Linked DNA regions of Notamacropus eugenii. The protein of the gene in region 1 purifies or fractionates together with the protein of each later gene. This does not show direct contact. Links are inferred from orthologs where the notes say so. Each region holds a gene or a part of one and is shown on either strand. Other genes may lie near its edges.

What was found.
Region 2: the proteins of SMAD3 (region 1) and SMURF1 purify together in Homo sapiens (affinity purification with western blotting; 3 studies listed by BioGRID). This does not show direct contact. The link is inferred for Notamacropus eugenii from reciprocal best matches to the Homo sapiens genes SMAD3 and SMURF1.
Region 3: the proteins of SMAD3 (region 1) and RUNX3 purify together in Homo sapiens (affinity purification with western blotting; 3 studies listed by BioGRID). This does not show direct contact. The link is inferred for Notamacropus eugenii from reciprocal best matches to the Homo sapiens genes SMAD3 and RUNX3.
Region 4: the proteins of SMAD3 (region 1) and LEMD3 purify together in Homo sapiens (affinity purification with mass spectrometry; 3 studies listed by BioGRID and IntAct, counting the BioPlex papers as one, with this or other methods). This does not show direct contact. The link is inferred for Notamacropus eugenii from reciprocal best matches to the Homo sapiens genes SMAD3 and LEMD3.

The regions. Positions count from the first base shown.
Region 1 is NC_092872.1:129,940,996-129,948,292, reverse strand, and holds the start of SMAD3 (mothers against decapentaplegic homolog 3), read right to left. Parts: upstream 3,010-7,297; 5' UTR 2,554-3,009; coding exon 2,348-2,553; intron 1-2,347. UniProt on the Homo sapiens protein: Receptor-regulated SMAD (R-SMAD) that is an intracellular signal transducer and transcriptional modulator activated by TGF-beta (transforming growth factor) and activin type 1 receptor kinases.
Region 2 is NC_092874.1:380,144,719-380,152,086, reverse strand, and holds the start of SMURF1 (E3 ubiquitin-protein ligase SMURF1), read right to left. Parts: upstream 3,005-7,368; 5' UTR 2,816-3,004; coding exon 2,761-2,815; intron 1-2,760. UniProt on the Homo sapiens protein: E3 ubiquitin-protein ligase that acts as a negative regulator of BMP signaling pathway. Mediates ubiquitination and degradation of SMAD1 and SMAD5, 2 receptor-regulated SMADs specific for the BMP pathway.
Region 3 is NC_092876.1:65,622,405-65,629,368, forward strand, and holds the start of RUNX3 (runt-related transcription factor 3), read right to left. Parts: upstream 3,016-6,964; 5' UTR 2,392-3,015; coding exon 2,334-2,391; intron 1-2,333. UniProt on the Homo sapiens protein: Forms the heterodimeric complex core-binding factor (CBF) with CBFB.
Region 4 is NC_092874.1:241,937,668-241,945,590, reverse strand, and holds the start of LEMD3 (inner nuclear membrane protein Man1), read right to left. Parts: upstream 3,004-7,923; 5' UTR 2,900-3,003; coding exon 1,387-2,899; intron 1-1,386.

The DNA.
Region 1 (7,297 bases):
GTACTGAAATACAGCCCCCCACCTCCCCCAAAAAGGTTATAGACTCTAGATTAAGAACCCCTCTGCCCTAGACAATTTGACAAGTTGCATGCAGATTCAGGTTAATGCAGGGCTATGGCAGACACGCTGCTATGATTAAGCCTGTAGCCAATTACCTCCATTTTTAATTTTCTGCCCACAACCATTATTGGGACACCTGATGTCCCAGTAACAGTCTTGTTTAGATAGTCAGTTGCAATATGCGGTTTTCCTGAGTCTGTGACAGCAAGTATTAGTCAGGTAATAACTTCTCACAGTGGCAAGGGAAAATCAGTAGGGGAGGGTGGTTGCAGATCCCAAAAGTTCAATGACAACAAGCTACATAAATTGTTACTTTCTAGGAATCCTTAATGCTTCAATTAAGAAACACAGTATTTTGTAAGCATCTCTTCCAGCCTCTACACTTACAGCAGAAGCTTAGACACATCCTAATCAGGTGAGTGGGTGAGTACCATCAATCTTCCTGGAGAAGTAATTACCCAGGAGTCCTGGAGATAACAGAACCTGGGACTGAAACTCAGGTTTTGCCTGTTATCAAACCATACCTACCTGTTCATTCAATCACTGCTGGCCCCTAGACCTAAGGTCTACAGACAGTATATCCTCTTTCTCTCCTTACTGACTATATTTGTCTAAAAAAACAGTCAAAGTATGAACTTCATCGGTATTTCCAAATGAGGGTTGCTTCTCATGAACAGATGCAGCATTGTGAAGGCTGACCCCAGTGTTAAGACAGCTTGGGATAAATACCCAGGCACTGTGATTCTCCTTCACAGCTGCTCCAAGGCAGGTGGTGGTGTGAGAGGATACATCCTTGGGGCTGAGTGGCCCTGAACCGATGTGGACACTGGAGTCCTCTGCTGGTCAAGCCCAAGGAAGCCCAGGTAACCTGGATTAAATCAAAGCCCTGGGGAGACCCAGTCAACAGCAAATTCCCAGAGTTCCTTCAGAACAGAATGGACCCTAGAAAGGGGATGGAGAGGCAGTGGGTAAAAGGCTCCCTTCTCTTTGAATTCTTCCTCCACCTCCACCCACCCTCCCCCTCCAATTTACCAAAATAAATACACTGAGTTCAGCCTCAAGGGAGTCAGAGCAAGTCACTGACCCTTTCTATAAGCCATCTGTGAAACCCTCCCCATCTTCCCCTCCTAGGGATGCTGTGAGCATAGTAGAGAATAAACAGATGGGAAGGTGCTTTAGAAATAAAGACACCGTAGGAATGCATGAGACTGGCTGAGGCCTGCTTTTGTAGGCATCTTTGTCATCAGAACTACTCCACTTCCACAGGGTGCTAAACAGTTCTGCATCACCCTGAATCCTACTTAAAAAAAAAAAAAAAGAAACACAGACACCACCCTCCCGAGGACTGGCTACTGCCGGTGCCCCTTGGTCTTCCCTGTGAGTGCGGAGAGTTTGGGGAGAGAAAGAAACAAGTTCAATACTAAGTATTCCCTTCTTCTAGAAAGTCAGTGCATTATAATCTGAGCCGTACGTGTGCAGGAGCGGAGGGGGTGTGGGGGGTGGGGAGGGCACAAACTGGCAGGACTGAATCTAAAAATACTCCTGAAAAAAACGAATCCCAAATGCAAAGAGAGCGAAAGAGAAGGAATCTGTCAATCACACGGGGCCAGGCTTCTCACCCACAACCCCAGCCCGGGGAGGCCCTCCCTTCGCTGTGCGGACTGCATTCCTGGGGGGAGGGGGGGAGGGAGCCGGCGGAGAGGGGAAGAAAAGACGGAAGGGAAAGAAAAATGAGGGGAGGAAGAGACAGACCGACGGACAGAACCACTTCTACTAGGACGGGGAGCCGAGGCCGGGATCGCTCAGCGCTGCTGCGGAGGGGAGGGGCGCGAAACAAAGCCGGAGCCCCAAACAAACTTCCAGCCCGCACGCACCCACCCCCGCCCTCCTGCCACCCGGGAGAGAAAGCCCCACGCTCCACAAGCCATCCAGGACCCCAGTCCATCTCGCCCGCCACTGGTCCCCCAATTCCTCCCTCCCGGGCTGGTCTGGGCCGCGTGGAAATCCTAGAGTTTCCATCTTTGTAAAGGTTTTGTTTGGGTACCTTGCCCCCGCCCCCCCTCCTGCCCAGACACATACACACACACAGACACACAGACACACACACACACACACACACACGCACACACACACTCACACTCGCCGCCGAGCCCTCGATCGCGCCCACTTTTCCCCGTTTCAAACACACACAGCCGGGCCAGGCCCGGCAGTGAGAAGCAGCCGCCGCCCGTGCCAGTGCTGGTGCCCGTGCCCTGCTCCCGCTCCGGCGCGGGCACCCCGTCCTCACCTGGGGATGGTGATGCATTTGGTGTTGATGTTCTGGGTGGTGATCGCCTTCTCCAGCTCATCCAGCTGCCCCGTCTTCTTGAGCTTCTTCACCAGGCTCTTCACCGCCTTTTCGCACCACTTCTCCTCCTGCCCGTTCTGCTCGCCTTTTTTCCAGCCCAGTAGGCGCTTTACGATCGGGGGGGTGAAGGGCAGGATGGAAGACATGGTGGAGGGGGGCAGAAGGGGGCTCCCCCCGAAGGGGGAGGCAGGCAGGCACACAGAGAAGGCTGGGAGCCCGGCCGCGGCCGGCCAAACTCCGCTCCAACTCCCTGCCGGACTCCCGGCGAACTTTCCTCCGGGACCTCGGCACCGCCAACCTCCGGGCCCGCGGTGGCCTCGGCTCCGCCGCCCTCCTCCTCCTCCCCCTCCCGGTGCACTCAAGGGGAAGAGGGAAGGAGGGACGAAGGGAGCCGAGAGTCCGGGCGGTGGGGGTGCGAAAGGGCCACGAAAGCACGGCGGCGGCGAGAGCAGAGAAAAGTTTGTGTTTCCGCACGGGGCGGCTGTTGGGTGCCGCCTCTGGGAAGAAAAGGCCAGCCCACGAAGCCAAGTTTGCGCTGCGGGCTCGCCGGGATGTACGGATCCCTCCGCCTTCGCGGCCTCCCCCCGCGCTCCCCGATTCCTTTCGCCCCCTCCCGCCCCTTCCCCTACTTCCCTCCAGGCCTCGGTGTGTGCGCTCAGGCTCCCGCCCCGATCCCAGTCTGTCTCTCATGCAAATCGGCGTGCAGCCTCCCTTCCAAGCGCCTGTCACCGCCCCCTCGCCCGCCGGGGCTCCCTCCTCGCCGCCCCCAAACGCGCCGCCCCGTCGTCCTTCCTCCGTGCCCCCCAGCCCGCACTCCAGGCTGGCCTCCGCGGTGGCGCCCGCTCCGCCCCCTGCTCCCAGAGGAAAGAGATCAGCCCTGGGGCCCACGCCAAACACCCCCCCCCCCCGTGGGCGTGGGTGCTGCGGGGCGGCTCTCCCCAGGGAAAGCCGTAGCCTGCGCACCCCCACAGCTTCCCCCTTGCTTTTTCCTGCAACGTCCCTCGCTCTTGGGCCACCTGATGACATGCAGGAGCTCCCCGAGAAACGGAGGAGAATGGACAAAAAGCGGGGGCTGCACCGTGGCCCCTTTACTTTCCCAGGGAGAACCAACTTGAGAAAACTTTTGTTTTTAAAGTTGCGTCCTTACGGTTGAAGAACGCTCTAGGGTCCTTCTGAACCTGGGTGTCGGGGGTGCGCATTTGCGCACACACACTGACTGCCCTGTCCTCCTGTCCCCCAAAGCAGACCCACGGACAGACCCTCATTACTCCAGTTAAAGCAGTCTAGTTGTGTTCGAGCTATTTCTCTTTTATTCTCTGTAAAATGTAGCCAGCGTTTCGAACTGTTTTGTTTTGTTGGGGGGGGGGGGGCGGCGCGAGAAAAATGGGGGAGAGGTGGCACTGCGATCTGCCCTTCGAGACCTGATTTTAAATCCCCAGAGTCTCAAAGATCCCTCAAAGGTGGGAATTAGGATGGAGCAGTCAGAAAACAGAGGTATATGCTTACACTTTTTACCTGTCTAAATTGAATGGGTGAGACCTTGAAGGACCTTGGAAATCATCCAAGTCTTTTGGGTTTACAGAGTAGGAAACTGAGGGTCCCGGAAAGATAGTAATTTGCTCAAGGTCTAACAACCAAGTCCAGCTGAGTTTAGAATCCAGTCCCTTTGACTCCAAAGTCAGTGCTCTTGAGTTTTGAGTCCCAAAGTAGCGTGTGTCCAGATCTAGGGAGGGAAATCCCTGGAAATTTAGGTTTTCAGAGTTATATTAAATGAGAAATGAACAGAGAACTGGAAAGACAACGCTAAAGGGAACAAGAAATTGATAGAAGAAGATCTGGAGCACAGAATTCAAGGTTCAAAATTAAAAGCATAGACTTGAGATTGCACCCTAGTCTCCTTGGCTTCCCCCTGACTGCCCCCCCCCCCATCAACTCCCACACACAAACACATCAAGTGCCTTTGCATGTTTTTTATAGCAGGAAATCCTTGGGGGGGGGGGGGGGGAGAAGTTATCTAGGAAACCTGAAGAGGGTGCAGAGCCACGAAGCCTGGAGGAGAGCAGAATCCACATAGCCAGCTAACCAGCTCCAGGGGTTCCTGAGGTCTCACGGTGGATGACTTAACACATGCTTGTTAGTTAGGCTACTGTTGCTCTGGGTTATTTCTCTCTACTCTCAGCTCTTTCCTAACGTCAACACTGCCCCAGCTGTGGTTTAGTGGGGGGAAAGTCCTGAGCTAGAGGTCAGAACAACTGGGTTTCTACTCCTAGGACTAAATTGTACTCTTGGCCTTGGATAAACTCAGTTTTCACATCTATAAAATGAGGGAGTTGGGTTAGATAATCTTCAAAGTGTGTCCCAGCTCTAAAACCACATGAATTTCTGAAAATCTATTCTCCAACCCTTGGTTTTCCCAGTCTGCAAAATGGGGATAATAAACCCTGCCTCCAGGCTGTGTGAGAATGAAATTGATTGCCTGAGGAAAGCATTTGCAAAAGCAGTAAATGTAGTGAAACTGTTAATATTGTTTCATGTTTATCCCTCAGTTCAATCCAGTGTCAACATTGTAACATAGGAATTTAGCCATGAAACAAGCAGCCAAAAAAACATCTCCATGCGGTTGGCAAAAACACTAAAATAGCCATGTACCTCAGTTTCCACCTTTTAATTGGCCATTATTCACAGTAACATTAATTGAACAAACAATGTTCTAATAAAATAAATTCACATAATAAATACTTGTGGGGGGAAGGGAAAGACATTGATTAAGCATGAAATGCAAGAGTGAGCCCTGCGCTCAAGTTCCAGGAGGTATCCAAAAATGTCCCACATGTGGGTCCTTTCTTCTAGGAACAGGCAATCTCGTTAGGGAGACAAAGGATATCCATATGAAGACAGCTAACAAATGAATGGAAAAAGCATTTAGTAAGCACATTTGTGAAAGTCACTGTACTTTATGATACAGGACCGATGAGTGTTACAGACAAATGGGAGTTGCTGAAGTTCAGAGAAAGGAGGGAGATCACTCTTACCTGAGACAGCTTTGTGGATGGAAGATGACACTCAAGCTGAGTTTTAAAGAATGAAAAGGAATCCAAGAGGCACAAGGAAAGGACATTACAGCATGGAGGAAGGCATAAGCCAAGACAAGTGGGAATGTGTAAGTCATATTTGCAGGAAGAGGCAACAGATTTGTTTGGCTGTTGAGAAGAAATCAAGAAACTCTAGCCATGAGACCTACAGGTGGTATTTGGCCCATGATGATTGAGGGCCCTAAAGAAGAAGTCTCTGGAAGCCTCAGGTTTGTCCCGAGAACAGGTTAATATCATCCATTAACATTTTTGTCTGACTCATATTAGCTCTGTGCTTAGGGTCAGGCTAGCTCAGGAGTGGGGAACCTGTGGCCTTGAGACCACATGTGACTTTCTAGGTCCTTGGGTTCCTTTGACTGAGTCCAAGTTTTGCAGAACAAATCCTTTTATTAAGGGGAATTGTTCTGTGAAGTTTGTATTCAGTCAAAGGTACTCCCTTGAAGACCCAGAGGGCCACATGTGGCCTTGAAGTTCCCACCCCTGGGCTAGAAATCAAGTTAGATTCCATCTTTGATCTCTAGGGCTAGCTAGGTGATTCGGTGGATAGAGTCCTAGGCCTGGAGTCAGGAAGACCTGAGTTCAAAATAAAATTCGGACACTTACTAGTTGTGTGACTGTAGGCATGCCACTTCATGTCTGTTTGCCTCAATTTCCTCATCTGTAGAATAGGGATAAGGATAGTACGAACCTTGCAGTGTTGACTCTGAGGACCAAATGAGATGACTGTAAAGTTCTTAGCATAATGCCTGCCATATAGTAAGCACTATATCAATTTTAACTATTAGTTATTATTAGCGTATCACTATGGATGCCATGGATGTGAGAAGATGTACATCCATAAGAAAGAGAAGAAACAGGAAATGTTAGAATTGGAAGGCGTGGTAGAGAGCATTTAAAACAAGCTCCTCATCTTATAGATGAGGAGGAAATGTATACAGTAAAAGATCACCAGCCTGAGACTCAGTAGACTCTCTACAGATCAGCTATGTATGAGTAGCCCATTTAACTAGGACATGCACCTGGGGCTTTTATTGTGTTTTTAAGGCTAACATTTTTTTGAATGTTATTGGACTCACTTAAAAAAACTTTTAAAAATTCATCATACAACCTAAAGAAACAAAACCAACAATTTTAAAATTAAATTTTGTTTTAAAAATTACATATTTATAACTAGACCTTGTATCATTTGTGTACAAACTGTAAAAAGGAGATATAAAATAGTAAATTTTTTTCAAATTTATTTATTTGTTTTCAGTTTTTAATGATCACTTCCATAAGTTTTAAATTTTCTCCCCTTCCTTCCCCAAAAAGCATGCAATCTTATATGGGTTCTACACATACATTCTTATTAAACACATTTTCATATCAGCCATGCTGCATAGAAAAAAAATAATCTTGTACAGACACTAAAGTGTGCCTGGGTCTTCCTTGTTTGCTCTATATGCATGCCTTACTCTTCTGGGCCTTGAGTTTCCTCTTCTGTGGGTTAAAAGAGGTAGATGAAATGATCTTAAGGTCCCTTCCAGTTGTATAATCTTTTAAATACCTAAAGTTGGTGATCTAAAACAAGGTCATTGACTGCTAGCCTGTGCTACTGGGAATTAGTGACTGAAGATTTTAGGCCAAAATGGACTTCCTCACTGGGGATAGTGACATGAAGTTTACCTGGTTTTGGTCATACCCTGTTGAGTTAATTTTCACCTAAACCCCTTACAACCCTTTTGCTCTCACTATTTCACGGAAAATTCTTTTCTCAAAAGTCATCAATTACCTCTTAGTCACATAACCCTTTACAGCT
Region 2 (7,368 bases), on another chromosome or scaffold:
ACAATCCCTGACTACAAGGAGATAATTTAACTGGGAAAGGTATTTGCAAAATGCTTTGAAACACACAATTATTCAAGTATTTTGTATCAAATATATTCAATGAACTACTGAAACCTCTATAAACTATTTCAAACTAACATAATTATGGCAGCATTTATTTCAATCTTTATCTAAAAATGAAGGATTAAGATATCCACTAATATTCAGGACACATTTATAAATTATGCCTTGAAGGCAAATTCATCATACAATGGATTTATACAATCAATTTCAAAAATACAAGACTGAGAAATTTCACTATCATGGCAAAAATGGTTAGAAATTGTCACTAGACTTAATTATGTTTATCATAAGTCAAATTTGAGATATCTTACTTTAAGTCAAAGTTTTCTGCATGTCCCAAAAGTTATCGTGTAGTTTTCTCTCTTAAAGCTTAGCTAGAGAGCATGGAATTTAATAACCAAAAACGCATATACACTAGTAATTTAGAATAGGTAACAATGTGACTATTAGGGCCAGAAAACTACCTTGAATATCAGTCTAATTTAGGTATTCCTAATGTATGCTTCATAAACGTCTTTAAAAAATACTGATGACTATTTCAATATAATTGCTTCCTTTGTAATACTATGCAGTTTTAAAAAACATTCTTCTGAAAAGGGATCTCATAGTTTTCAACAGACTCCTAAAGGGTAAATCAGAAAAAGTTAAGCACCACCAGTCTAGTCCAATGTCCTTATTGTGCAGAAGAAGAAAATGAAGCCCAAAGAAGTCACAAAGGTGGTCTAGGCCTGGGGCTAGAATTAACATCTCCTTCACTTCTGGTTCAAAACACTTTCCATTTACCATAAAATTCTGCAGTCAAAAGTCCTAAATATCTTTTCAAACACTAATGTCTTCATAGTCTGTATTTAATTATGCTGCATGTTATTTACTAACAAAAACCTCTCTAAAATCTATATTTTCAAATGTCACTGCAGTAACTAAGCAATCTTCTTTATCAAAAACATTTAATGTATCAAGATGCACAATAAATCAGAAGTGAAAAAATTTCAAACTTCTTAACTTTAAGAATAGACTAAAACCAATTTTATTTTCACACTCTTTAGTTGCAACTTTTTCACACGGGTTAATGTTCAACAGACAACTGCCATCATGTCTGTTACACAACTCTTACTAAGCTCTCAATTCCCGTTTCAAGAACAATTACATTCATAGATTGACTCAAATCCATTAGGTATTCAGCAATTTAGGCAGGGAGTGAGGAGGGGGAAAGCACTTTGGAAAGAATACTGATCATTTAATCCTTTAATATCAAATGCCATCCATAAGCTCTTAAAAGTATTTCTGCAGCTATCACATTTAAACTCCTGAACAGACCAGTATATGGGGGTGAAAGGGTGGGGTGAACAGAAAGACAAATCCTGTTCTCTCTTATACTTTGGGGGTGGGAAAGAGAAGTACAAATCAAAGATCATCAGCCACAATTCATAAAAACGCTCAACAAATGCAAAAAAGTAAAACGTTTATTTCAGAAACAAAAACTCTAACCCAACTACATTTCTAACAAAACACACACATGCACTTAACAGTAAAAGAGTAACTGATCTGATGGCTATAATAGATTGCGTTGTAACTGGGAAGCAAATTAAAGTTGTCTTGTAATTAAACTTTACAAGTATTATAACGTCAAAAACATGACATTTTACGCACCCATAAAAACAACTCAACTTAAAAATATGAAGAAGTGCTTTACCTCCTAGCCTGAGTGCAGCATAATGGCTCCTCCAAGAACAAAGATCCAGGAGGATACACCTGTTGCCTTACAAAACCCCAGTCTGGGCCTGAATCATTAATAATTCATTATTCTGTCAGCTTTGTAAACAGAACTCACAAGTCCTTTTATTTAAACAGGAAACAGATCCTACAACAGGCAACAGTGGGTTTTCAAAGAGAACATATGGTTTTAAAAAAAATCACCTACAGATGTTTTTTACAAATACTTTTAAATGCCCTAACCACGCTAGGCGTTCGTCTCGATCCTCCCTCTTTTGGGGGGGGGGGGGGGGTTAAATCACACTCCTTTGACAGGAACTGGACAAATACAGACTGGAGGGCTTTTCTTTCGTGTGCCACAGACCAGAAGAAAGACCAAGAGGGGGAAACTCCTGCCAGGATCGGACAGAACTTCTGGCTTGGAAAGTCCCCCGGCAGAAATCTGTTTGCGGAGTAACGATCCCGCGTTAAGAACCCCAGGCCTGCGGCGTGCCGAGAGGGGAGCGCGGGGGTGGGGGAGGAGGGATGCCGGGGCCGGACACTGGACGCAGGATGTCTGGAGCCCGCCGGGGAGACACGGCCGCCAGCGGCAGACACCGTCCGCACCACACACCGCCCCCCTCCACCCCGACGCCGGCACCACCCCGCCCCCTCCCCGCAACAGCGCATGCGCACCCCAGGGCTTCCCCATTCACCCCTATGGGGATCACTACGGAGCTGACGGGGGAAACAGGGAAATTTCATTGAAGAAACGCGAGTGAATCGAGGAGCCAGGACTTGTGCAGCTGCCAGCACCGAGGCGGGGGAGGGGAGGGGAGCCACGGCGCGGGCCGCCCGGGGATGCCGGGGACCCCACGCAGCGCACGACCCGCCGAGGCCCGGGGGTGCGGGTCCGGCGGGGCCGCCCCCCCCCGCCCCTCCGGGGGCCCCCTCCCCTCCGGGCCCCCCCAACCCCGGCTCCCCCGCTCCCCCGCGCGCCCGTACCTGTCAGCCGGATCTTGATGCTGGAGCCGTTTCTCCGAGTCCCGGGGTTCGACATCTCCTGCCCGCGACCGGGGAGGTGGGGGGGAAGAATCCGCCACAGCCCGTCCGAGTCCGCCCCCCGCCTCGGCCCCGGCCCCTGCCTTCCTCTTCCTCCTCAAGGCTGAGGCTGGGCCGCCGAGCCCCGGGTCCGAGCCTCCCGGCCACCAACTCCAAGCAGCGGGGCAGGGTGGGTGGGGGGAAAGGGGGCGGGCCCCGCGATCAAGCCCGGAGCGGAGCAGATTTCCCACCACCCCCCACCCGCCCTCCCAACCAACCCCAGGTCGAGAGCCACCGCCTCCTCCTCCGCCTCCGCCTCCTCGGAGCTCGAGACCAGCCGCCGAGCGAGCGAGCACCGCCCTCGCCGCCGCCGCCGCCGCCGCCGCCGCCGCCGCCGCCGCCGCCGCCGCCGCCGCCGCCGCCGCCGCCGCCGCCTCCCGGAGCCGCGCGCGCTCCCGCCGCCGCCGCCGCCGCCGCCGCCGCCGCGCCTCCCCTCCTCTCCTTCCTCCTCGCGACGCGCGCGCCCCCGCCGGCGACCTTCCTCTCCCTCCCCCCGGCGCGCTCCCGCGGCCTTTTTTTTTTAAACCCCCGCCCAGCCCGTGCGTGCGAGCGTGCTTGCGCCGAACGTGAGGCGGAGACGCAAAGGACGCCGCTGACGTCGCTCCCCGAGGTGGAGGCGGGGAGGCGTCCTGTTCGGCGCCATGTTGCGGGTCTCCTCGCACCCTGCCAGCGGGAGAGGGGCTTCCTCCATGTTTATGGTCGCACGTGCCGAGCCTTAGCGACTGCACCCGAGAACGTGGGGAGAGGCCCCGCCGGGGGCCGGGGGCCGCGGGCTGGTAGCGGGGTCGGGGAGAGTGCCAAGGGGAAGCTGCGGGGACCGGCCCACGGCACTCGCTTCCGTAGGTGGGCGTGGAGCCTCGAAGTCCCGAGTTCAAATGCAGTAGTTGTGCGACCCTGAACGAGTCAGTCTTGAATTCAGCCCCACCCGCCGCGGGGCTCCTCCGAGGAGAGCCTGCGTGCCTGTGTGGTGAGAATGGTGTGCAGGCCTCAGAGCGCTGGATAAACACCCCCCCCCCCCCCCGCGGGCCCCCTCTGTTCAAGCTGCCCTTCGGCGTCCGCTCCTCACCATAGGGGGGCGGGCTGCTTTCTCCCCCGCCCCTGCTCCTTCTCTGTCCCAGACCGTCCAGACCCCCTTCCAGCCACCTAGCTGCTCACGTGGCTTCCTGAAGGCCGTCTCCAGTCCCATTGATCTGATGGGAAGTTAGTAGGGCTCTTTACTCCGGAGTCTTGCACCCCTACCGGACCGCACCCTCCTGGAGGCCACGGGCTGTGTTTTGTATTTCATCCCAATCTTTCCTCTCCCCGGTGCCCAGCTAAGCTATTGTGCGTTAGCTTGTACTCAGGTAACGAGAAGGATCTTTCTTTGGCATTGGAGAACCCCAGATAGACGGGAAGTTGCCATATCTAGGATGCTTTAACAATAAACGAAACCAGCCATAGGCAGGTAAATAAATCACTGTGGCGCCCCTACTGTGTGTTCAGCTCTGGGATTCAGGCGATGATGAAGAATTATGCATTCAGCAAATATTCTGTGGACTCTTAGAATAGTCAACGTTTTATGCTGAATAACAGGCCCAGCCCTGACAGGCCATTCTGGAGGGACAGGGAATTTCCCAAAGTTTAAACTTCCTTTGGAAACAAGACACATAGAGAAAACAAAGCCAATCACTGCACTCATATCAGGGGTAAAATTCTTAATAGAATCCTATTTGTTGAATGGTCATGTACTTGAAAACATTTTTATTGATATTTTTATATTATCTGCATTCCTGCTATAACTCTCCACCCTCCTCCTGGAGAGTTATACTTTATAACAAAGAATTTTTTTTTAAGAAAAAAAGCATTTCAACAAAACTAACCGACATACCAGGTTCAAGGTGTACAGGTGTCCACACTCATGGTTTCCACTTCTGTTTTCAAAGGGGGGGGAGGGAGTAGCCTGGTACTTTCTCTGCTTTGCCGCTTGATTTCTCTTTGCTTCCGTACTCTGACTCAGATCGTCCAGATCCCATCCCAGCCACTTGGCTGCTCACGCAGCCTTGGTGAAAGTCACCAATCCTATTTCTTATGGTGAGATGGAGGATCACTGGGTATGCTTCCAAGACCTCTAGTGCTGTCCTCTGACCTACAGATGTAGCCTAAGGACCTCTGAGCTTTGCCATTCCACTGCCTGATGCACCCTTAGGAATGAACTTTCTTTTATGTGTAATATCCCCCAAGTAGAGTGTGAGCTCCCAGAGAGCAGAGACCTTACTGATTTTTCTCTTTGTACACCCAGTGCTTGGTGTACAGCAAGTAATAAATAAATACTTTTTCATTCATTCACTGAGGCCAAGTTTCGGCATTGTAGTGTCACAGCTTTTTGTTTCAATTATTTTTATTCTTTCCCTTTAAGTTATAATCATCGTATATTCTTGTCTGCTTCCTTTACTCTTCATCAGTTTGTTTTCTCCATGTATTCTTCATGTTTTTTTTCAAGTTTTCAAATAAATTTCAATTGATAACTTTATCACCAACATTTCTCAATACATGGCTCCCTTCTCCTTTTCCCAGAGAGCCATCCCTTATAATAAGAATAATATGAGAGGGATGGCAATTAATTCAACAAAACTAACCAACATCTTGGAAAAAATCTGACACTATATAATGTTCCATAGGCATAGTCCCCTACCTATGCAAAGAATAACAGGAGGTATATTCTTATATCCCTTTGGGCATTCAGTTCTGCTGCTTTTGTTCTCTCCATTTTGAATTATTGTAGTCATATGTTTCCCTGGTTCTGCTCCAGTTTTTCATCAGTTCATGTCTTCCCATGCTTCTCTCGTGTTTATTGCTTTTTACAGCAAAGTAATATTCGGTTACATTCATGTACCACAGTTTAGTTAGCTTTTCCTAAATGCATGAGCATCTGCTTTGTTTCCATTTCTTTGCTACTATAAAAAGTGAAGCTAATATCTAAGAATGCTGTATCTACAACATTCCCCTGATCTACCAGTCTAGTAACCCTATCAAAAAAGGAAATGAGGTTATTCTGGCATGACCTGTTCTTGATGAAACTATGTCAACTATTTGTGAAAGGGACTTCTTAAAGATTCTCATCTTGTTCCAGGTACTCTGGAGTTCATAGTAATGGCCATTTTTTTAAAATGTCATTTTTATAGTGCTGTAAGTTTTGCAAAGTGTAGTAGATTATCTCATTTGAGCCTCACAGCAATCTTGTAAGATAGATGCTACAGGAGCCATATCACATTACATACTATCTTGAGGAGGGAAGGGGAGAAAATTTTAAACTTACGGAAGTGAATGTTGAAAACTAAAAATAAATTAATTTAAAAAAAAAAAAAGATACTACAGGAATTATCCCCACTTTACAGATGAGGAAACAGACTCAGGTTAAGTGGCTTAGGTTCGCAAAGCTGAATAACAGAAATAGGAGTCAAACCCAAGTCTTCGGGATTCTAAGTCTAACACACTATTCATTAAGCCACAATGCCACTCAGACTTATGGGACCTAAATGGATCTAAATCAAACTTCTTCCTCATTTTACAGTAAAGACAGTGGTATCCTTAGAGGTTAGATTACTTATTCATCATTACGTAGCTAATAAGTAGTAGAACAAGTGCTCAGTCTCACTGATTATTCTTAACTATTGAACCACAAAGGAATCAAATGTCTGGAATTTCATTCTGAAATCCCAGGAAATACTGAGAGAGGTCAAATTTTGGAAAGGGTAAATATAATGTGTTTATAGGTTAAAATATATCTTCTGCCTTAGAAACATTTTCACCAAGAAGAAATAGTTGTGACCATCCTATTCATTTGTTCCCATTTCTAATATTCCCTTCCACCATAGCAGGTTTTCATATGAATTCCCATGAAAAATATGGAAATAGTAATAGGAAGAGCTGGATGTACAACATAGCATACTCCATACCATCTTTACCACTTTTGAGGGCTTGATGGACTGCTACCTTGAAGCCAAAACCTCTGGACTATAACCCTCTGCCTTGTGTCAAGTCACCTCTGACAATGAACTCACATCTCTTCCTGTACTTTTCTCTGGTCTTTCCTAACACTACTCTTTCATTATTCTTCTAACCATAGCTCTCTCCCTTCCTGATCCATCGTTCATTTCATGTCCCCTGTTCCTCATGGCTCTGTTCTAGGGTCCATTTCTCTCCTTTGATGAATTTATTCTCTGTGGCTTTAATCATAAACTGTATGAATAAATAAATGAATGAAGATACATTAATTAAGCACTTAATATGTGCAAAGCACTGTGATGAGGGCTATGGATTCAAATAGAAAAGCAAGGCAGTCCCTACTCGAGTTCACCTTCTAATGTATGAGAAATACCTATTGGAGGTTTCAACTACAACTCAGATGGAAGGGTCCTATGGTCCTTATGTGAAGCAGATGATAATATATATTCTTTCATGCCATTTCTACTGGTGATCCTATCCATTTCTGATGTTGACAATGCCAAGGACTTTGGTGTTGAGGATTTTATT
Region 3 (6,964 bases), on another chromosome or scaffold:
AGCCTCCTCTCCTCTGGCCCCAGAGTCTTGTCCTGCCTGGGCCTGGCTTCTAGAGATGGAGTCTGGGATTTGACTCACAAGACCAAATGACTGGATTCAGTGAAATGCAGGCTGGTTGGACACAGATGGACAAACTAGGGAATGGTAGTGTGACCTCCAGCTGGCCTCCAAGTCACTACTCTTGTGGACCCAAGTCTACTAGCGATTTCTACTGTAATATAAAGAACACTAGCTAGGCAACCAGGAGACAGTCCAAGTCTTAGCTTAGCCAACAAAGTCTGTTTCCCAAAGCCTCCTCTAAAGAGCCTTAGTTTCCCCACTTGCTGAATTCTTCTCAGCTCGGATAGTCTCTTTTTCAAGGTCCAGATCTCACATTCTGTTCTAACATTCTATAGCCTTAGGTCCCTTCTTGCTCTGACATTCTACATTTGAAGGTGCTTTTGAAAATGTTATTGCAGAAAGAACACTAGCTTGAATCTGAGGATGTGGGTTCAAATCTCCCTTCTGATGCCCTTTCCCTGGGTATGCTGGGACAACATCCCTAGTTAATACCTTTGTCCATAAAATGAAGAAATTGAGTTAGATGGGCTCTGAGTTCTGAATATCCGTGTCCCACAGATCTTACAGAGATGAAAGATCTTGTACAGTTCTAATAGTCTATATCTTAAGCTCTTTTATATTTAGGGTCTCTTCTTATATGCTGTTACAGAAAGAACATGAGCTCTGGAGTCTGAGGTCCTGGGTTCAAATTCCACCTTTGGGACACAGACACTGGACAAATCATAGAACCTCCTAGAGGTTCAGTTTCCTCATCTGTAAAATGAAGATGTTGGGCCGAGTGGTCTGAGGTCTGGTCCAGTTCTAACTCTGTGTCTTAAGAACCCTCCCAGCTCTGACATTTTGGATTCTAAGATCCTTTCCAGCTCTGACAGTCTGTGTTCTAAGATTCCTCTCAGTTCTGATACTCTGTGTTCTCAAGTTCCAGGTCTGACATTCTATGATCCTGGAATGGACTTATTTCCTGTATAACATTGATCAGTACAATGAGGGGCCAGTATGCCTATCCCCATTCCCCCAGAACCTCACATTACACACACACACACACACACACACACACACACACACACACACACACACACGGTTCTGAATGTGATCATTTAAGCTTCTGACAGTTTCTGAGAAAACTAGCAGCTATGGTTGAGCATGGTAAGGTGAGAGGACTCTCTCTCTAGGATGGTTTGTCCATCAGAAACATCAGTAGGTCTCCGTCCAGTGGACTGCTCTGGGGAAGCCAACAGTCGGATCCTGGTAACCCAAGGGTAGGAGTCAGCCTGGGCCACCATGCTCCAAGATGTATATTTGCAACTTTGCCCCCTTGCTGCTCTTGCCCTCGGCAGATGCTGGACAGAGTTTCTATAGAAATACACCTTCTCCTTGCCCAGCAATAGAGACCGCAGATCTCTCATAGGGGAAGTTATTTTCTTACCCTTCCACCTAAGCAAGAAGCCACCTGAATTCTCAGCTAGTCGCTGGGTGTCTTCCTTTCCCTATTTCCTACCCTGAGAATGATAATCCTTGAAACGAAAATGTTAGGAATATCACCTGACTTCACAGCTCACACCATCCCTGCTTTGTTTAGAACTGGGCCTGGGATATTCCAGAGGGCTTCACTGAAAGCCCAAATCCAGTCCCCCAGTCTCAGTTTGTGACATTCATGGTCCTTAGCAGGTAAACCCAGAGGCCAAGCTCCCTTCTCCTCTTTCTCTGGCCAGATCAGGACAACATTTGCCCCAAAAGCCAGAGCAAAGTGAAGGGTCTTGTGAACACAGTCAGTGGGTGAGGGGACACTGGTTCCCCCTACTCCCAAATTAGCCAGGGGAACCCTTCCAGGAATATTGTCTTTGAGATACTGAGCAGTCACCACCCACCCTTCAAACAGCCATGGCCTAGCCCCTCTCAGCCCCCATAGGCTGAGGACAAAGGCGGCCCCCTACCCCCACAGAGAGGCTAAGAATATCTCTCAGGTCATCTATGAAGATTCTCCAAGGGGAGGGTCCCAATGTTCAACAGAAGAAATTCATTCCAAGAATCAACTGTCCTGTCTTTGGGGTGGCAGTGAGGGGTAGGGGGAAGGAAGTGTAGGGAAAGGAGGGGATTGAGTTGGGAAGGAACAGTGGCGGACCACCTTCAGAAAAGCCAGCGTAAGGTAGAAAAATGCCCACCAGCCAACCCAGCTTCTCACTCCCGCCCCAAAGTTCCCCCTATACCCCTGCCCCTGCAGTGGGCAATGGGCATCGGGTAGCCAGTGACTACGTAGGGATTTCTCTACTCACCGCGAATGAAGGGCTGCGAGTAGGTCGTGAAGGAATCAAAGATACTGTTGGACGCCATGCTCTGGTCTGAGGAAGGCAAGAATTCAGTCCTTGAAGGGGGTTGGGTTGGAACTGGTGTGTGTGTGTGTGTGTGTGTGTGTGTGTGTGTGTGTGTGTGTGTGTGTGTGTGTGTGTTTTATTTTTTTCTGCTACTTTTGAAAATAATTTGAAAGAAGGAGAGGGGGACAACAAGAAAGAAAAAAAAGTAGAGAGAGCAAAAAAAAAAAAGAGAGATCCCAGAGGAAACTAATGCCTATTTGTACCCAAGAATTTGGGTTCTCAGTCCCACAGGAATGTCTGGCCACAGAGTGTTCAACAGAAGTATATGCAGACTATCATTAGTGATGGAAGGGGCGAGAGCAGAGGCAGCAGCGGGCAGCAAGGGGGGAGACCCACAGCAGGAGCGGGCAGGACAGGCTGGGGGCCAGGGCTCAGAGGAATGAATGAAACTTACCCCAAAGGCAGACAGAGCGACACCCCCTCCCCAACCTATGAGAGGTGTAGGCAAGGCTAGGTCCCCCCCTCCCCAGAGCAGGGGAGTGGGGATGAGGGTGTGGAGAGAAGCCAACCTTCCCCCCAACTCAGGTACCCCTGGGGATGGCAGAGGACTCCCAGCTTGTGGTTCTGTGGTTGGGGAAGAGGCCTTCAGAGTGTCAAGCCAACCTCAGCTCCCCAGGCTGAAAAAGCCTTTAGCCCAACACGGGCTCATTGGCCCGGGGGGAGTCACCTGACCCAAAACGTCACCCTGGCCCTTGGATCTCACTGTGGCTCCTTCTTCTTTTGAAAAAAAAAAAAAGAAAGAAAGAAAAAAAAAGAAAAAGATAGTTTCTGTGTTGGTTGGTAAAGAGCAGCCTATACTGTTGGCCCAGTTAGTTTTCTGTTCTGAAAACAGTTAACATGGTGGAGAGGGGGTGTGGAGCTAAGGAGAATTTTTTTCTCATCCTCCCTTTTAATTAATGACAGTGTCCTCCTGCCTGGGCTGAGAATAATGTGGATAGCTAATTGGTTGATGGAAGTCATCATCCCTGGGCACGAAGAGGTTTTCTCCCTTGAACTGGCCCTTCTCCCACACCCACCACTTGTCTGTGGTGCAACTCTCATCCCACCAGCAGGGCCGACCCTGGGCCTTTGCGTCTGACTATTGTTACTGGTGAGACCACTTCCATATGTGTGGATGGGTGGCTCTTGACGGGGGTTTTATATGAATTAGTATTAAGTAAAAATTCAAAGCATATGCCGCAATATAAACAGTGCTCAGGGCTGGTCTCTGGTGTCCCGTCCTTCCCCCTCCCTTCCTTCCCCCTTCCACCATTCATAGTTCTTGCAAAGTGGCTGGGCCTTCCTTATACACACAATAAATGGATAGCCAGGTTGTATTCCAGTGGCATTGTGGGAAGGGGACAAGGAGAAGACTGGTGTGGAAACACACCAGTTGGGCTGATCTCCACAAAGTTCAGGTTGTGAGACTGGAGCCCAGATAAACTCAATCTCCTTTCTGAAATTCACTAAACAGAGTGACTTGAGAACCCTGAAGGTCTTCTGACTGGTGGGCAAAGAAGATCCCGAGGAGGTTGAGGGTCAGCATTTACTCCCCCTCCTCTTCCTCTATTCCTACCCCTACCTCTTGTCCTAGTTAACAAGGGCACACATTTTGTGACAAGAGCCAGAGGGGAAGAGGATCAGGAAAGCACACTGGAATGGGGGAAGGATCAACAGAGCACCTTAGGTGCACTCACAGGCAGCAGCTGAAAAGGACTTGTGGTTAATGACAGAAGGACTTCATTAAGGAACAATGTCAAAACTGTGGTCAAGACTCTGCTATCCTCTGCAGCTAGGCGGTGCCACAGTGCACAGAGCACCTGGTCCAGAGTCAAGAAGTCTCATCTCCTTAAGTTCAAATCCAGCCTCAGACACTTACTAGTTGTGTGACCCTGGGCAAGTCACATAATCCTGTTTGCTCATTTTCTTCGTCTGGAAAATGCATCACTCCAGTATCTTTGTCAAGAAAACCCCAAATGGGCTTATGAGGAGTCAGAAACACCTGAAATGACTAAACAACATAGTAAGAGTTGTTGGTAGGCAGGCTCTGATCTTGGTGACCCGGTTTGGCTGCTGGCCTTTGTTTCTCCACTGACTTGGATTATCATTGTAGGGAGAAGCTTTGTTGGCTCCCCTACCCCCACCCAATCCCCATATACACACATATTTGCAGGACAGTATATACCATGGAACACCTCACCCGTATGCTCGGACTCTGAACCATCTGGTTGGGTGAGTTGTCTGTCCAGCTGGGTCTGGGTCTGGGAAGCTGCTCCTTATTTCTGCGTTCTCCAAGCACAAGAACCCCATGGCAGGGGACTTCTTGGCCTGTGAATGTTCCAGAAATGAGTGCTTCTTTGCTATGTTCTAAGGTCCATTTCAGTTCTAACATTCTCTTCCAGTTCTATTATTGGTCTATGGATCTATGATGAATTTACAGTTAGCCCAGGGGAAGATTGGAATCCTGAGGATGGGGCATGGGAGGGTGAGGAGCAGCAGGGTTATCAGGAGGAGGGTAAAGGATGCTGACATGGGAGGTGGTAATGTACCCAGGGCCTGGGGGTGGGAGGTGGATGGGTAGGTCAGAAGTCTAGCCTGGAGTCTATACTACGGCTTCCTCCAGCCTCAGAGTAAAAAGGAAAGCCATCTATGTTCTTCAAATTGACTTTTGGTCTTAACTACCCCTGGCCCACCCCCTGCCCACCACAAGCCAGTTTCCAAGTCCTACGATGTGCACTGTCAGCTGGTGATGTAACCCAATAAGAATGTGCAGCTGTTGATGACCACACACTTTTAACTGGCTTCCAGAGGTTGGAACCCCAGAATGGGGTGAGGAGGAGGGAAGGGGAGGAGGAGTGTTTCAGAACCTTAGTCGGCCGGCTGAGCACCGGGCATCACAGCAGGGCCCTCAGAAGCAGTTAGCCCAAGCACCGACCCTTGTCCAGGGCCTTCCCCAGCCTGGAACTTGCCACCCGTCTCCTGAGCTGTGGCCATCTCAGGATCATGGGCATTCCCGACACCCTCTATTGCCAGAATACAGCCAAAAGCCCTTCCAGAAACTCTAGTCCCTGTTGGAGCTATTTTTCCATGAAAGTGCCCATCCAGCTCCCTCTAACCTGGGCCAAAGGGGCCCATGGGCCAGAGTTGGTGCAATTGTCTACAAAGGCTACTATTGTTCCTCAGCTCCATTCCAAGGAGGTTCCTGGCCCCACATGAAAGAGAGAACATATTCTTTACCATAAAAAGGTCTATGGTTTTTCTTCCCCTCCCCCCTTTTCCCTTTAATGACCCCATTTTCCATGGGTGTGTCTGAAAATTTGAAACATACCAAGTTTACTTACTCGTCCAAAGGAAGGGGGGTCATTATGTGGTTGAGAAATTGATGGGTGTTCCATGTGCTATCGATGGAGCATCTCAGGCATGTACCGTCACTCCAGGAGATTAGGCAATTAACACGAAGGCCCCAAACCAAGCTTCCTGGCCGACAGTGGGGTCTCATAGGGGCAGAGCTTTCTGTCTAAAACAAGGAGCTTACCTTCATATGGATACAATGCTATGGATGGAACCTAGAAGGGAACTATTTACCTTATCTCTGTACTTCAGGTATACACATTACTACATATCATAGAATACACAAGGTCAGAGCTGGGAGGACCCTTACAACTCAGGATGTCAGAGCTGGGAGGACCCTTAGAACACAGGATGGTAGAGCTGGGAAGGGACTGAAGTCTAACTTCTTCATTTTACAGATTGAAGAAACAAGAAAAGATGAGATTTACTGAGAAAATTAGAACTAGAATCCTGGTCACCTGATTGCTATTCATGCCACTCATGGAACCATATAATTCTGCAAAGAATCTTAAAGGTCCTCAAGTCCAAATTTAACTTATAGAAAAGAATATTGAATCTCAGAAAGGAGGAAATGACTTGCCCCGAGTCATATAGACAATAAGAATTTGAACCCAAGCCTTCTGACTCTATGGCCAATGTTCCTTCCATTACATCAGGAGGCTTCCATATATTCATAGGGTCATAGATTCAGAACCAAATTTGTTCTTTAAGATTATCAAATCTACCCAATTGATAAATGGTCAAAGGCAGTTTACAGAGGAAGAAATTAAACCTATCTATCATCATATGAAAAAATGCTCTAAATCACTATTGATTAGAGAAGTGCAAATCAAATTAACTCTTAGGTATCACACCACACTTATCAGATTGGATAACATGACAAATCAAGAAAATTATAAATGCTGGAGAAGATGTGGGAAAATTGGAACACTAATGCATTGTTGGTGGAGTTGTGAATTGATCCAATCATTTTGGAGAGCAATTTGGAACTATGCCCAAAGGGCTATAAAAATGTGCATACCCTTTGACCCCGCAATACCACCACTAGGTCTGTATCCTAAAGAGATCATAAAATTGGGAAAAGGACACACATGTACAAAAATATTTATAGCAGTTCTTTTTGTGGTGGCCAAGAACTGGAAATCGAGGGGATGCCCATCAACTGGGGAATGGCTGAACAAGTTGTGGTATATGAATGTAAT
Region 4 (7,923 bases), on another chromosome or scaffold:
ATCGTTGAATTGACTTCCAAAATACCACAGCAGAAGTCAATTACTGTTGACAGTTTGGGGAACAACATCTAAATGTTTCTAAGTCAAGCACTAATCTTTCAGAGCATGCAAAAAGAGTGCTGGATTGGAAATCAGAGGCTGTGTAACCCTGAACCTTTCTGGGCCTTCCTTAGTTCTTAATTTGTAAAATGAGGGAGCAGACTAATAACCACCAAGGTCCCTTCCAGCTCTAAATTTATGATCCTATAACCCAATATAAGATTTGCTAGTAATTTTTCTGGACAATGTACAGGGGAAATGATTCACCACATCTCCAAAAAAGCCTCACTAATCACCCTGCTAAAGAGCCAGAAATTATGCTCTCAGAGCTACTTAGAATGAGCATAAATCATACTATAGTAACTGCTTAGTGTAAGAGCCAAAAATCTCATTATAAAAAGCAAATGACTGTAACTGTATTTATCAACAGCACTCATCCCAGGTGAGGAGGGGATGCATTCTTAACTCCAGAAATTCACATAGGTGGGTATGCTGTTTCTATTCTCCATTAAAGTATTATTTTTCATATTAGTGAATCTCATGTTTAATACATTTAAAAGAGCACTGATGTCTCAATCTGAGAGGAAGTTTTCGGGATAAATAAGATGCTCCACAAAGTAAGACACACTTGCCAATTATTTTTAAAATTCCATCTACCAAAAGCAGGTATATTACAGTTCAAAACAGAAAGCAGATTTAAAGTTGGAAAGGTCCTTAAAAGTCAGAGTCCAACCTCTCATCTCAGAGACAAGAAAACTGAGGGTCAGAGAGGTTACCTGACTCACCCATGGATCACACAGGAAGCAAAAAGCATAACCTAAATTTAAACTCAGATTTTTTTTTTTTACTCCAAATCCATTGTTCTTTCCATTATACCACTGAATATACTACTTATATCGTGTAGGTGACTCTGCTCTTCTTCTGGGGTGTTTTGGACCTCCTGCATAATCTGTAGATAAAGAATTTTCAAACCCAAACAAGTTAACACATTCCAATGGCAGGCTGTAAGATAAATATAACGTTTGACAAACAACTTGATGTTCACAACTTCAAACCTTGTTTCTGATCCAAGAGTCACCTAAAGTAAAATGACAATTACAATATGTTTAGGAATTAGGGCCTGGACCTGTGAATTTCACTGGTGCACGGAACTCCTGGTGAAGGAAATTCTGTCAGCCAAGGCAGATCAGCACCTTCCTCCCACATGTACCTCGCTCTGAGAAGTTAAGTCACCCAGGCTGCCTCCAAGGCCAATAACTCCCTTTCCATTATCCCAAGATGCCCCCACTACAAAATGGGTTACTGGGGCAGGGGAAAGGGAGGTCTTACTCACTGACCAATACTTACTGTTGAGTGCCCCGTCCTCAGACACTCCAGTACCTCTCATGCCGAGGTAGGTGAGCCCAAGTATCAGGAAAAACAAGCAGGCAGCAGTCAAGAGAAACATGGATAAATAGTGGGCACTGAAGCCACCCGTGGTGGACACCTCCTCCCGTTTAAATTGCTGGAGAAGTTCCTCCTCCGGTTCTGAAAGCTTATGCTTGTTGTAGGTGTTTTTCAGGTAGGTATGATTGGAGCCCGTGTGATTGGAGTGATTGATCCTGAGCGAGGGGGAGGAGGCTGAGCCCATCAGAGGGTTGTGCGGGAGGCTGTTGGCGTAGACCCTGGAGGGGTCCAAGTGGAAACCCCCCCGACCGATGTGGTTGTTAGTTTTGCGATCCAGGGCCAGATCCCCGTCGGGGAGGGTCGAGGGCAGGAGTGGGGGCTGTTTCTTGGAGGTCAGGCGGTATCTGGGAATGGGGCTGCAGTCCAGCGGGTCGCCTCCCCCTCCCTCCTCCGGACCTCGCCTCCGGTCTAGACCGCCGGCGGCCCTGTCATTTCCCGGGCAGCCGCCGCCGGCCGCCGCGGGGTGCGAGGCCTCCCCTCGAGAGCCCGCGGGGGGCTTGCCGTGGCCGCGCCTGGGCCGGGACCGGAGCAGCGAGTCGTCCCTGAAGAGCGGCCGGGCGACGGCCACGTTGTCCTGCTCCTCCTCCTCCTCCGAGTCCGAGTAGTTCTCCCGGCAGCTGAAGGGGAGGAGCCGGCTGCCGTTCACGGGCCGGCTGCTCCAGCGCAGCTCCTCGCCCTCCGGCTCCCTCTCGCCGCCGCCGTCCGCTCCCTCCTCTGCGTCCTCCGGCGCGCCCTCTCTCCCCGGCGGCCCCAGGGGGTCCGGGCCGGCCGCGGCTCTCCGGGCCCCCCACCACGCGTGCGGCTTCCTCCTCTCGGCGGGCTGGCCGGGGCCCGCCTCGCCGTCGGCCAGGGGCGCGGGCTTGAGTCCGCCGCGGGACTGCAGGGCCGCCCGCTCCTTCCTGCCGCCGCTGGCCTGGTCCCGGGGGCTGGCCTCGGCGTCCGACTCGTCCGAGCTGAAGCCCAGCAGCACCTTGCTGCCGCCGCCGGCGCCGGCCAGGGCGGGGGCGGCCGCGGCTCCGGGCGGGTTATCGGGGGCCGAGGCCGAGCCGCGGCCGAGCGCCGCCGAGGTCCGCAGGTACGAGAGGTCGCCCGGCGGCGGCCTGCCCCCCGCGCCGGCGGCGGCCGCCCCCGCCCCCGCCCCCGGCGGCGCCCCCGCGGCCGCCGTGTTATTGTTGTTGCTGTTCCGCGTCTTGGCGCTGCGGGCCCCGGTCCGGTGCGGCGGCGGCTGCTGCTCCTGCGGCGGCGCCGGCGGCTGCTGCTGCTCCTCCTCGCGGAGCTTCTTCAGCTTCTTCAGGTAGACGGGCCGGGTGCTCTCCGTCACCGGGCCGGGAGACAGGCCGTAACGGCGGAGCTGAGAGAAGAGCTCCTCATCCGAGAGCTGCTGAGCCGCCGAAGCCGCCGCTGCAGCCGCCATCTTCTCTCTTGGGTGTTTTACAAGCTCCGCGCTACCGGAAGTGACGCGCCCACCCTAGACCCTGAACTAGACCCGTCGGCGTTGGCCTTCCCGAGCCGGCGGCGCCTGGGCCAATGGGAGGCGTGGGAAGGACTCACCTGAGCGGGAAGGGCCCACGTAAGGTGCGGCGGCGGGGAGGGGGGGAGCGCGCGGACGGTCGGCGCGCGCATCTCCGGGGAGGGGGCTGGCTCGGCTTGGGGGGGCGTGCGCGGACTCCGGCGCCCGACCCTGGGCTGCGCCTTCGAGAGCACCTTGACCGCCGCCCCCTCGCCGGGCTCGGCCGACCCCCTCGAGAGGAGGACGGGGAGGGTCCGCCCGGCAGCCCCGGCTCTCTTTGTCTCCCGTAGCCCGGACACTTTCTCCTTCCCTTCATGGATGACCTTAGCTTTTTTCTGTCTTTTTAATGCAAGAAAACGTTACTTCCCCAGCCGGGGCCTTTTACCAAAGAAGGAGGAAGAGGAAAAAAGAGGAGGGAGAAGGAGAAAGGGGAGGGAGAAGGAAGAATCAGAAAAGGAGGACTGATGAGTTTCTGGACGAGAGCTAACCTGCTTTTCTAAGGTCAAGGCTGCCAGGCCCCCAACCTACTGTAAGGAACCCACAAATTTCCTTTGCCAGCCCCCCATCCACATTTTTGAAAAATACCCCTGGGTCTGAGATGCCCAGCCTTGTTTATTTTTGAAAGGCTAGCGAATTAAACGAATCTGATTTTGAGAATCTTTTAAAGGCTTTGATTTCATTGTGGTTATAATTCGGAGAAGATTGCAGAAACCGTTTTTTGGTCATTTACTCCTCTGGAAGCAGGTGTCCAGGGTTGAACTTTATGAGTGAAGAATTTCTGGGAGTAGAGGAGCCTTGAACCTGAGCTCGTACCATCCCCTCTCCCCCAGGGACTTTCTGAAGGTGGTAAACCATTGTTCCACTGAGTAAACAACCGGCAAGTTTGCCCTGAAAACCACTGATTCTTGCTTTCTCCATCCCCTGAATACTGCAAGAGAATACTTAGAACTGGGCTTCTGCCAAAAAATATTTTCTCAGGGAAAACCTTTAAATTGAATACCATTTCATCCGGTCCCTGAGGATTTAAATCTGAACCTTTGGGACTAGAAATGTATTGTTTTTGCATGTTGAGAGGAAAATAGTTACAAACTTGCCTTAGCTACATAGTATCTATCCCATGTCTGGAACAGAGATACATATGCATGTTTTAGTGCCATGTCATGGCTAGGTGACTGTGCAAATTTTATAACTTGTAATGGAATCACAGAATTTCGTTTGAAAAAGACACAAGTAGCCATCTTATTCAGCCAAGTCCTTATTCCAGCATTCCTGACCAGTGGTCATCAAACAGGATGATGAAAGCAGTGCAAAAAAGGCACTAGAGTCTGGCTAGCATAGATAAATAAGAAGATTGTTGGAGGCAGCAAAATGCATTCTCTGGTTGAGCCCCACTTGTAAAGCACTTATCAAAGGATCTGGCAAATAGTAAGCAGTATATAAATGTTTGCTATCATGATTAGTATTATTATCATTATTTTATTACATTACAAAGCAAGTGAGGTCTAATGGGATGTTTCCAAGCTCTTGGATTTATTTTCTTCCTTACAAAGATGTGATTCAGTTTTACGATATTAGTATATTAGAAAGCTGGCCTTGGACCCAGGAAGACCTGAGTTCAAATTTCCCACCACTGTAAAAGTTAAACTGAATATGGAGCTGTTATATAAATTGCCTTTGAATTAAAAAAAAAAAGATTCTATGTGACTTTAAACAGCCCTCCCTCATTTAAATGCAATTCACTTGCAAGTCACAGCATCACCTTCCTGGTGCTATGATCCTCTTCCTAATGAAGGACAAAACTGTGAATAGTACATGCTGCCCACTGAACCAAACTGATCAGTTCTAGTTGAGCAAGACAGCTCTTACCCTCTCCTTTCTTGTTTTCCTCTCCCCTTCTTTTCCCTTCTTCCTTTTCCCTCTGTCCATTTTGGGTATTATACCCTCACTTCTGGGTACTCTACACAAAGGAATATAAATTTTGATCCTTGAAACCTCTGAAGATATCTTGGGATTTAGGTGCTAGATTTCTTTCTTAATGACCATACCTTAAACCCAATTCACTCTGGTTCTCATTGGTTGGCTGACAGTAGGTCCTAACCCAGGCCCCACTTAGTGGTCATTATTTGGGTCCTGATTGGTTCAGAGTAAATGTAAGTAGAATTTGTTTCTGTTTTGGTCAAAAACCCTGAGGTTCTTCCCTTCCCAGATTGATTTTTTTTTTTAATTAGGCAAAAGAGGCCATATTTTGTCTCATTTCTTACCTAGCCTTATTCACTGGATGGGCATTTCCTCAGTCAAACTGAGACCCGTTAAACCCCTTAGCTTAAAAAGACCAAGGTTTCCCACTACATCTGGGGCCATCACCAGTCATCCTGAATTATTTCTTGCCACTGGTTCTAGTTGGATCCTGAGGAGAAAGTGAGACTGGTGACTTTGCACAGCCCTCCCTCATTTAAATCCAGTTCACTTACAAGTCATGGCATCACCTTCCTGATACTATGGTCCTCTTTGAGAACAAAGGACAAACAATAATTAATGTTTAGAGAGCTGGCCTTGGAACCACGGAAGACCTTTCTTCAAATCTTCCACTATGGTAAAAGTTAAACTGAACATGGAGTTGTTATGTAAGTTGCCTTTGAACTGAAAGACAAGGATTCTATGTGTAATGCAAGAAGGTAGTTTCAGATACAGGTCTATTCAACTGAATGAGCATCACCTCACTCTAAGTGAGTACTGAAAAGGCCTTAGCCTAAAAGGCCAAGGTCTCCCATTGCATTCTGGGCTGTCTCCAGTCATCCTGAGGAAGATCTGGTCATTGGATCCAGATGGCTCAGGAGGAGAAAGTGAGGCTGGTGACCTTGCAAGCCCTCTCTCACTTAAAACAAAGTCAAGTGCACATCATGTCATCATTTCTCTGATGTCATGGTCCTCTTTGAGAAGGAGGATAAACAGTTTCAGATAAGTCTTTATATGGCCCAAGAGCTTCCTCCTTCTGAGTTCCAAGAAAAAGTATGCCAAAAGATGGACAATTTTCACTGTGTTGAAGATGTGGAAATTAATCCTGTCCTTGTTTCCTCAAGAGATCCTGTCACTTTTGCTTTCTCAGAAATTAACTAGAACGATAGGGACACATAAATAAAATTACTAAAGAGCGGTAACTGCTTATGATTAGAGTCTGGAAGGCTAAAATCCTCAAATGAGCTGAAGTTTATAAAAATATATACTGAAGAAAAACATACTTTAAAACTAAAATTTATTCAAAACTAGGAAGAAAAAGAAAACATAGAGAGTTATAGCAGTGTTGAGTTAAGATTGTTCAACCACTCCTATTTACTTCCTTTATTCCTCCTATTGGCCTTGTGTAGATGGGTTTCCCAATCTGTTCTGGGAAAGGATGTAAGGATTTATAACTCGCTAGTATTTATGACTAGGTGCTACCAGCCAGAGGAGATAGCACCCATCTCAATGTTAGATCTCTTTTCCTCTTCTCTTTTAATATTTAAAATATAGAAAAGTAAACAGACTTTTCTGGGGAGAGGTTTTGAGCTTCCATTAGGGAGCCCAAGGGGAAAAGGAGATAAAGGATTACCACCTTAGAGTTGTAGTCTTTGGGAAGGTTAATCTGCTTGTCCTAGAGAGAGGGTATATGAAGACATCCATTTAGATTGCCCTGAATGGTTCAGTGGTTCGTTGGAGAAATGGAAGGTGGCCTGTGTGCTGCAAGGGCTCAGAGGAAATTTTATGACATAAGAGTGAACTTACCCTTCCAGTGAGGTTTCTTAGTAGTAAAAGGCATGAACACTCAGTCAACCCTGAGCTGGTTGAGTTAGTATCCTTAGCTATATGTGATCTTTACAGATTATTAACATGGCTTTTGTACTGATACTCCTTATACTCCAAGCAATCTTGCTATCAAGAAGGGAAAAGGGAAGGGAACAAATAATTATTAAGCGTGTATAAGGCACAATTCTAAACACTTACAAATATTATCTTACTTAATCCTCAACAATAATCCTATAAGGTAAGTACTGTAATTATCCTCATTTTACAGTTGAGAAAACTGAGGCAGACAGGGGCCTGATTTGAACTCAAATCTTTGTGACTCCAAGCCCAACTTTCTGTCCACTGCAGCCATCAGAAAGCCTGAAGTACCTCAGACTAACTGGACTATGTCTTTTAAGAGTCACCCTGGGGTATGACTCCTAATTCTCCAGTATAATTGCTCCCTTCTGATTCACTCAGGTACTTATTTGTACCTCATAAAGGAATCACTTGGCTTAGTCTGAATTTTTACAGTTAGTTTAACACCTTGTTATCATCCCCAATAGTATAATATTAACATTAAGGCAAGCATGATTAACTCCTATTTTGCTTTCATCCACTCTAAAGCATATAGTACCCGCTCAAGGCCATACTTCTGGAAAGAGTATTCTACCTTCCCTGCCTCTACGTCTCCCCATCTACACATTCTTCAACTTAGTGTAATTTGGCCTTGGTTTCTACTACGCTATTGAAATTACCCTTTTAAAGGTCACTACCAATTAATTGCCAAACAATGATCTTTTCTCCTCATTCTACCTGACTATTCTGAAACTTTTAAGGCTGTTTTATACCTTGTCTTATGTGACTCTGCCCTCTCTAGTTCTACCTTTTTGATCTACCTTTCTCTGCTTCTCTATTGACTCCTCTTCCTACACCCTTAATGTTATCATCCATCACTAAATTGAATTTTGAGTGAAGTAGTTTAAGAAAACCAATATCTCCAACAACATCCAGGGCCATCTCAAGTTGTCCTGATCTATATCTTGCCACTGGACCCAGATGGCTCTGGAGGAGAAAATGAGGCTGGTGACTTTGCAGAGGCCTCTGTCGTTTAAATCCAGTTCATTTGCATGTTATGGCATCACCTCCTTAATGTCATGGTCCTC